2 linked regions of the Arabidopsis thaliana genome follow. The protein of the gene in region 1 interacts with the protein of each later gene in a biochemical or structural test. Each region holds a gene or a part of one and is shown in the gene's direction. Other genes may lie near its edges. The genes, in order: EXO70B2 and PUB22.

What was found.
Region 2: the proteins of EXO70B2 (region 1) and PUB22 form a complex in vitro, tested with the Arabidopsis thaliana proteins (one study listed by BioGRID).

The regions. Positions count from the first base shown.
Region 1 is NC_003070.9:2,149,538-2,154,507, reverse strand, and holds EXO70B2 (exocyst subunit exo70 family protein B2), read left to right. Parts: upstream 1-1,966; 5' UTR 1,967-2,202; coding exon 2,203-2,694; intron 2,695-2,802; coding exon 2,803-4,110; 3' UTR 4,111-4,350; downstream 4,351-4,970. Other genes in the region: SLP1 (Calcineurin-like metallo-phosphoesterase superfamily protein), read right to left, coding at 59-234, 321-456, 546-758, 903-1,004, 1,085-1,117, 1,200-1,312, 1,376-1,559; AT1G06990 (GDSL-like Lipase/Acylhydrolase superfamily protein), read right to left, coding at 4,499-4,689. UniProt on the Arabidopsis thaliana protein: Component of an exocyst subcomplex specifically involved in autophagy-related, Golgi-independent membrane traffic to the vacuole. Regulates autophagosome formation and autophagy-related Golgi-independent import into the vacuole.
Region 2 is NC_003074.8:19,439,841-19,444,467, reverse strand, and holds PUB22 (plant U-box 22), read left to right. Parts: upstream 1-2,040; 5' UTR 2,041-2,217; coding exon 2,218-3,525; 3' UTR 3,526-3,851; downstream 3,852-4,627. UniProt on the Arabidopsis thaliana protein: E3 ubiquitin-protein ligase that negatively regulates water stress response. May control in coordination with PUB23 a drought signaling pathway by ubiquitinating cytosolic RPN12a.

The DNA.
Region 1 (4,970 bases):
CTGATGATGATATCTGTCTTAGCAGTTTTGAGATTTTGGTGATTAAAATTCTACTTGCCTGTTCAATTTGATAGTCCTCAAGCTCAGAAGTCTCTCTTGAGTAAAGTCGGCTCCAGACTACACTGTCATATCCTCGAGTCGCAATGAACGGCATCTGAGGACTGTCTTCATAGTTAGTAGGGCTTCTCATCCAAGTAGAGACTTCTCTGTTTATCCTCTCTATGCCGTATGCAACTGTGCAAGGACATTATAAGCATATGATATATCAAATCCAAAAGATCACCGAGAGGAAATGTTGAGATAGATTTGACTGTCCTTACCATGGTGAGGAAGGAGACCACCGTGGCAGAAGAGCCAGTTATTAACACGGAGAATAACTCCGTGACGCGACAATTCACATGCTAAACGACCACCTGGTCTGAGAAGGACCGACCTTGCAATTACTCCCTTTTGCCTCTGTCCTAATGGTTTTCCCACCGACTTTTGGTTAACCAACGAATACAAAAACTAAGAAAACTCAGAGAGGACAAGGCAAAATGAAGTACCTTTACTACATTCCATTGATCCCAATAGGTTTGAGAACTCCTCCTATCTTCTTTCCATTGTCTTGACTCAAAAATCCAATTCCTAAACGCTTTGTCCCAGTCTTGTGCATAGTCCTCCAAGTAGTCAAGAAAATCAGTACACTCATCAAATGCTCTCGCATCTACATATCTGAAATCCCCTTCAACATTCATTGTCTCGTGGTTCCCATTAACCTTTAAAATGTGACAAGAAGTTACTCTTTGTTAGTCCTATCAATTATCATCATTCTAGAACTAGCAAATTAAAATGTGTAGAGTGCAAAAGCTTCTCTGTGTAAAATTTACTTATGAAATTCAAGTATGATAGCAATCAAAAACCTGGAAAACAGCTCCACCATTAGCCTTGGCCTGATCATCAAGTGACCTCAATAAGGAGAGTATTGCGATTTCATCATCACCGCGATCAAGTATATCTCCTACCTGAACTAGTACCTGTATTTTCATTATGATTTCACAACTCATAAGCATTTAACTCAAAAGAATCAGTCATCATAATGAACCTCAAGATGCGTAATGTTGAACTCTAGCAGATACTGTCAATAATATCATCAAGCAAACCATTTAACACGATACTGAACCACTAAGAGATAATGTACATACGGTGTCTTGGCCGACCCACTGGTCTCGTCCGTCGGAGCTCAAGACGCCAGCCAACTGAAGTGCGTCTCTGGCTTTACCCAGATCGCCATGAAGGTCTCCAACTGTGAGTGCATATCCAAAACCAAAACCTACTCAATTTTGTTGTCAAATTATCAAAAAGATTGAAACTTTTCAGATTAATGGTGGCGAACCTGCAACGATACGACGAGCAGGAGCAGAGACGAAAGTGGGTGGATCTCCATTGATGACAATCGGCTTCAGAGCAAGTTCGTTACCATTAGAAGTGCTCAACAAAGAGGAAGAAGAAGGTTCTAAAAGTTTCTGGGGGTGAGAAGGAGGAAGTGGAAGTAAGGAATTGAGGTAAAGGGAAGCCATTGGTATTGGTGGTGGAGAAGCAATGATCCACCAGAGCTTTGATGAAATCACTTAACATTTGTGTTCGTCTGGTCTATAATTTGTGTGACTTGTCTCCAATTGCATGCTCAGTAATCAAATCCCTTTTATCTATCTACTGGCTGAGGTTTTTCCTCTCAATTTTTGGTTTTTCTGTTTTTAATAAAATAAAAGATAACCACAAAGACAAAAATTGGGCCTCTCAACCTTATCAAACTTATCGATCCCAAAAATGAATAATATGTCCATTGGGCCATCTAAAGCCCAAGTGTACTGGACGCCGAAAATTCAACGTAACGAAGTCATCGGCCCATAACCAATTTCCATGATGACCAAACGCACAACGCGGTTGTTAAATTGCGTTCACGTTCTGTAAACATCAAACCAGACAGAACCAAAAGAGAAAAATCGAAACGAAGACAAAGTCGTGGTCGTGGCACTAAGAAATTACAGATTCCATTAAAATACAAACAGAAGCACACAACTAAGTCAGACATGGTTCCCGCGTTTAATCTCCGAAGACTTTGTCAATATTATAGTCTTCGTCTATGGATTTTCGTCTTTATTCTCCCAATTCCACCAATTCCGTAATTTCCCCGAACATTATTAATTCCCATCCAATCATATGGCTGAAGCCGGTGACGAGAATCTTTACGCCGCCGCCAGAGACATCGCCAGAGCTCTCGGCAAGGATCCAAGTGCCGCCGGAGATATCTTACAGATTCTCTCCGGTTATGGCGCTTCCGGAAACCGCGGCGGAGATCCTCGACCCACCCCATCCCGCGGCGGCTCAAACGTCAACTTTGACCGAGCCCTCACCTCTTTAGAGAGACAGATCTCCAGCTACATCGTGGAAGATCGACCGATCTGGTCTGATCCCGTTGACTCGCGCACCTTCCTCGACTCTGTTGATGAGCTACTTGCGATTGCCGGAGACTTGAGATCCATGGCCGGAGATAAATCCGTCGCCGTCTGTCAATCCCGTGCCGATGAGCTGATTCAACAGGTGATGTTTAGGCTTCAAGAAGAGTTTGGATTTGTAATGGACCGAGCCCCTGACTCGTTTGACTCGGACGATGAGTTCCCCGGCGAAGAAGACAACGACACAAGCGACGGGGTAATTAATTCATCTGTAAATTTATTACTAAATTAGTTTTGGAATTAGAATTAGAAAATTCGGTTTACTATCGGTTATATTGTGGTTAAGTGATTCACAATTGAATAGGTAATCGTTGCTCGTCCAATCACTGATTACAAAATCGTGATCGAGGCGTTACAATCTAGCGTTATTGGCGATCTAAACGCGATCGCTGTGCGCATGGTCGCTGGTGGATTTGCAAAAGAGTGTTCAAGAGTGTACAGCAGTCGACGAAGAGAGTTTCTAGAGGAGAGTTTGTCGAGGTTACATCTCAGAGGACTAAGTATGGAGGAAGTGCAAGAGAGTCCATGGCAAGATCTTGAAGACGAAATCGACCGTTGGATTAAAGCCGTAACGCTGATATTCCACGTTTTCTTCCCGAGCGAGCGTCTTCTCTGCGATCGCGTTTTCTCTGATCTTCCTGTTTCCTCTGTAACCGATCTTTCTTTCATGGAAGTTTGTCGCGGAACCACAACACAGCTTCTGAATTTCGCAGACGCGATCGCTTTAGGAAGCCGTTTACCTGAACGTTTGTTTAAGGTTGTGGATTTATACGAAGCGATGCAAGACCTTATTCCTAAGATGGAAACGCTATTTTCTGATCGATATTGTTCGCCGCTAAGGCATGAGGCGCTCGCGATTCATAAACGGTTAGGAGAAGCGATTAGAGGGATATTTATGGAGCTGGAGAATTTAATCCGACGTGACCCTCCCAAAACAGCGTTTCCTGGCGGTGGGATTCACCCGATCACGCGGTACGTGATGAATTATCTGCGTGCGGCGTGTAAATCGCGGCAATCGTTGGAGCAGATACTTGACCAGACAGGAAATGAAACCGGATCAGATACGAGACCGTTGTCTGTGCAAATCATATGGGTTTTGGAGTTGTTGGAGAGTAACTTGGAAGGCAAGAAAAGAACTTATCGTGATCCGTCTTTGTGTTTCTTGTTCATGATGAACAATGACAAGTATATTCTTGATAAGGCTAAGGATAACGAGCTAGGTTTAGTCCTAGGAGAAGATTGGATTGTGAAGCACGCAGCGAAACTGAGGCAATACCATTCTAATTACCGAAGGAGCTCATGGAACCAAGTGGTGGGATTGCTTAGGACCGATGGTCCGTATCCCAAGTTAGTAGAGAACCTAAGATTGTTCAAATCACAGTTCGATGAGGTGTGTAAGGTGCAATCTCAATGGGTTGTTAGTGATGGGCAATTGAGGGAGGAGTTAAGAAGCTCTGTTGCCGGAATTGTATCTCCGGCGTACTCGAATTTCATCAGAAGATTGAAGGAGTCACCGGAGATTAATGGGAGGCGTGGAGAGCCGTTTATTCCGTATACTGTTGAAGATGTGGAGTTTATAATCAAACGGTTGTTCAAGGAAAGCTCAAGTTGATTAAATTAGATATGAAAAGAAATTAAAAAATTCTTATTAATTGAATTTTTTTGTAAAATTGTGAATCATTCTGTGTTTTTTTATCTTTCTTGGGTGAATAATGTTCATGGATCGGTGGAATCACCTTTTCGACATTGATTTGTTCATGTATTGCTTTTTTGATGTAAGAAATTTCCTTAAGGTTAAAATATAATTCGTTTGGGTTTCAAAACGGACTTACGAGCATTGTGCTATAGAGTTACAACTTACCAGGATAGAGTAGTATAATATCATAATAGTATACATGTAAAACCTAGCTTAAGCAAATACGAAAGATTATGTGAACCCACAGGGAAATAATTATAGATTGACTACAGATTAATTAATATATATGAAAGCAAAATGAAAATCAAGAGAGTACGTGGAAAATTTGTTCAACAAGACTGAGACTGATGACTATGTAAGCAATTTGGGAAGGATGAATATCGTCCCAGAAAAGGTACTGGTTAGGGTTAGGACAAATCCGAGTTAAAGCATTGCACAAGTACGCTAACTCTATTTCTCCAGTCCCGCAACATCCTCTCGTCGTCTCCTTTAACCCTGTCCCATTCAAAGGAATAACATTGATAACTACTTAGCTTTGTAATAAAATGAAATATTTTATAGTCTTGAATGTTCTCTTATAACAAACTATAATTTCAAAACCTGTAAAAAAAATTATCAGTAAAAATCCTGTAAAATACATGCACTTCACACGTATGTGATATATACTAATATGAGAGAATTGTGCGGAGAAAATTGGATTATGCTTTGGGTTTGATTGATTTCTTTTTTCTTATTTTGCATTTATGCAATATCTTTTTTAAATGATCCAATATAAC
Region 2 (4,627 bases), on another chromosome or scaffold:
TGTCAACATACAGTACGTATATGTATTTATATATATTCTTAAATTTTATTAATTGGCTGTAATATATGACCGCTGCTCAAAGAATGGGAAAGAGCTATTTGTACATAAACCCAAATAAATATATATCCTCAAGATTGAAGTCAATTATCTATCTATTTGGATAAATTATTATTTTGTGGTTGAATGAATTGCTGATTAGTAGCATATATAGTTGCAACTTGGTCATGATTCTGGTCGTGCTCAAGAGTTGCCTAACTTATTTCTATTTTTCAATAATATCTTAATTTAACAAAAAGATGGAAATATTTCACTTCAGTTCTGTGATTCTGTTATACTTTCATATATTTTCCAAATTTCCAAATCATAAGAATACTATCGAGTTTCTATAATCAGGTCAAATAAGCTTGAAACAAATAATAACATAGGTTGAAATAGTTACAATGTAAACAGCAAATGGCTTAAAGTCTTAAACCAACAATTAAAGACTCATGAAGAACCACCAAAGCCAAACTATGACAAGAGAAATATCAGTTCATTTGAAATCTTAAAAGGTATAGAAGTGTTGATTAAGGATAACGGACTATCGATGATATCCTCTTCGTATATTTTTTTTAAAAAAACAGCAGAAAATCTTTATCATATATACACTTTTCATTCCGTTACTTAAACGTTAGTAAATAACCAATATCATAACTCATAAGTTCATTAATCATAGGGTATATAAAGCTGTAAATCATATTATGTTGACTTTTTCGTAATATATGCAATTTTTAATAACTAAAATGTTTGAAATCGAAAGATGTCTTTGGAAAACACAAAGTGGTATATATATATAGATATAGATTTGGTTAAAAATGTATGTAATTCTTTAAAAATGACAATGTTTAGAGTTTACTGGATTGTAGAACCTATGGATTTTGTTTAATGGCAAAAACAAAAATGGAAGTAAAGATGTCCATCGACAGATCAAAAACTCATATATATTGTCAAGATGAAATGATATAACGTTCTATAAAAACATTAAGTGAATCCCTGATAATCGGAAGAACGATAAAACAACTTGAAGAGACTGAGTTATCAATGTCCCACAAGTGGTACCAAAATAGTTTATGCATACCAAAACTATTTAATTAATCGAATGTAATTGACCAAAATAGATATCAGACTCAAAAGAATACCAAAACTTCAGTGATAACCAAAAGCAGATAAAAAACGTATATAGTTTATGCATTTGCCAATAGATGAGAGGCATATCCATTGGCACTAAGATCAAAGCCAACATATATATAAAGATAAAAGGAAAAAAGAGAGGAAAAATAACTGAAAATATGAATATCCAAAATATTGTGGAAGCGCCTAGACAAAAGTAGAGCATAACAAGGGAGTATGGGTCCAAAAGTATCACAAAAGATTGCATCCTAAAACAATGTACAAAATCCAACAACGGACCGTTAATGGCACTTTAGGTTTTGTCGGTACCAAAAACAGTAATCTTCTTTTTGTTGACAAAATTAAAAACCTAAAAATCTTCATCTACCTTTCGGTTGATTAACAGTTATATTAACCATAGTTTTGAAAATTGAAACAAGCCAGCCAATTTAGGTTACAATTTTTTGTAAAATGAAATAAAAAGTCAATGGGGGATGGCAAAAAAAGAGGAGGAATAAGCAATTATGGCATGTGAGTAAAACGAAAAAGAGACACAAAACAGACAATCTATTTGTCTTCAACACCGCCACAACCAATCCCCAATGACTTGGTTACTTTTTACACTTTCTTCGCCGTTATCGCATCTCTTTTGACAAGTCAACACTCTTCATACGTCTCACTTTTTTTTTTAATATGAGAAACGCATTTATAGTTTAGTTTCTTTTGTTACACCACCCAAAAAAAAAGTCAAATCTATATATAACGTTCCTCGTTCGTTCTAATAAAAAACTATACAATAATAAATAAATAGCGACAGCTATCCAAAAAGAGTTTTAACAATACTTGTATTTTCCGTGTTTTGACTTTTGTAATTATTCTGAATATTTCCACTATCCCTTTATATTTAAAGACCCAAACTCTTCATCTATCTTCTTGCTAACTTATTCAAACCAATTCACATATCTCCTAAATCTCAACGACTGCACTTTGAAGCTTTTTGTTTAGATTCGTTCGTCGTTTCCATTGATTAAGTCTACTTCTTTTTTTTCATATTTTCGAGCGGGTCAAATGGATCAAGAGATAGAGATTCCTTCCTTCTTCCTTTGTCCAATCTCTCTAGATATCATGAAAGATCCGGTGATAGTTTCCACCGGAATAACCTACGACCGAGAAAGCATCGAGAAGTGGCTCTTTTCCGGTAAGAAAAACTCATGTCCAGTCACCAAACAAGTCATAACCGAAACTGATCTTACCCCAAACCACACTCTTCGCCGTTTGATTCAATCTTGGTGTACCCTCAACGCATCATATGGTATAGAGAGGATCCCAACTCCAAAACCTCCGATCTGTAAATCGGAGATCGAAAAGCTTATCAAAGAGTCGTCATCTTCGCATCTAAACCAAGTCAAATGCCTCAAACGACTTCGTCAAATAGTATCTGAGAATACAACCAACAAACGGTGCTTAGAAGCCGCAGAAGTTCCGGAGTTTTTGGCAAATATCGTAAGCAACTCTGTAGATACGTATAACTCTCCTTCTTCTTCACTTTCTTCTTCGAATCTCAACGACATGTGTCAGTCAAACATGTTGGAGAATCGATTTGATTCTTCAAGAAGCTTGATGGACGAAGCCCTAAGCGTACTCTACCATCTTGACACATCGGAGACAGCCCTCAAGAGTCTTTTAAACAACAAGAAAGGAACAAATCTTGTGAAAACGTTGACGAAGATTATGCAACGTGGGATCTACGAGTCAAGAGCCTATGCGGCTTTGCTTCTCAAGAAGCTCCTGGAAGTTGCGGATCCAATGCAGATCATATTGTTGGAACGAGAACTTTTCGGTGAGGTGATTCAAATCTTGCACGACCAGATCTCTCACAAGGCGACAAGATCAGCAATGCAAATCTTGGTGATCACATGTCCATGGGGAAGGAATAGACACAAGGCAGTGGAAGGTGGAACAATCTCGATGATAATCGAGCTTTTAATGGACGATACTTTCTCATCAGAGAGAAGGAATTCAGAGATGGCGATGGTGGTTCTTGATATGTTATGTCAGTGCGCAGAAGGAAGAGCTGAGTTCTTGAATCACGGTGCCGCTATTGCGGTTGTGTCTAAGAAGATATTGAGGGTCTCACAAATAACTAGTGAAAGGGCAGTTAGGGTTTTGCTTTCGGTTGGGAGGTTCTGCGCGACACCCTCTTTGTTGCAGGAGATGTTGCAATTGGGAGTTGTAGCAAAGCTGTGTCTGGTACTTCAAGTTAGCTGTGGTAACAAGACTAAAGAAAAGGCTAAAGAATTGCTTAAGCTTCACGCTAGGGTTTGGAGGGAATCACCTTGTGTCCCAAGAAATTTGTATGATTCGTATCCTGCTTGAACAACGTACATGTTTGAATAATTCTCATCAGATACAAACAATTCTTTGAGAATTATTCTTCGTATAAGTTCATTTTAAAACAAAAAAGAGTGGTTTAAATTTTGCTCAAACTCTGATTTTCTTTCATTTGTTTTTGTTTTATTATCTTTCAATGTTTATCATTATGTGTAGATAATAGTGGACATATTTTCATGAAATTATGAAAAAACTGCAAAGAAATAAATGGATTCACAGGTTACATGGCTATTTTATCCCACTTGCTTTGTTCGTAATTGTTAGAGGCTCCTTATTTATATTCTTTTTGTCCATTACTCACAATAATAATGGAGAACATCTCTTTCAACTTCTCGTTTTTATTGAGTGGATAACCTAAAGGTTACATCATAGTTCTGCTAAAACCATTACTTTTTACAAATACTTTTAGAGATTTGTATGCGTCATGTGTAACGTTTCTGACCATTTAATTGATGCCAGAATTGTAACATTGCGAATGTAATTATGTATATATATATATATTATGTCGGTACGTTCTACAACTCTAATCCCACTATTGATTTATATATTCCAGTATACATCGACGATATCCACGACGGGCATTCTTTCATTCGAGGATGAGTTTCTGTTTTAAGAAATTCTTAATTAAGATTTGTTTTCTTAATTATTATGTAAACATACCAAAAGTCCTTCATATATATGTGATTTTGTATTCACTTATTGTGATTTTTTAGATCACTCAGTTTAAAATGATTTAGACTAAACGTGGTAAAAACTGTTTACGAAAACTCTTTGCATGCGTTTTAACGATCAATAGACATTTCATTATCGGTAGATCGAAGGCAAAAGATAGATGAATATAGGAATCTAAAGCACGTTATAGCAATATTATATAGCAAGAATCTCTGTATTTATACACCTCGGTTCTAGCAATCAGGGAACATGGTCTTGGGGAGAACATGAGTACAGTGTCGTTTTACCTGAGAAAATTAATTATTACTTTCGGGCTATAAGTCCAATATAAATTCCTAAGGTTTTACATAAATAATCGCTCATGTCAAAGTTAATTTGGATTACACTCGAATTTACTCTTCCAACACTGACTTAT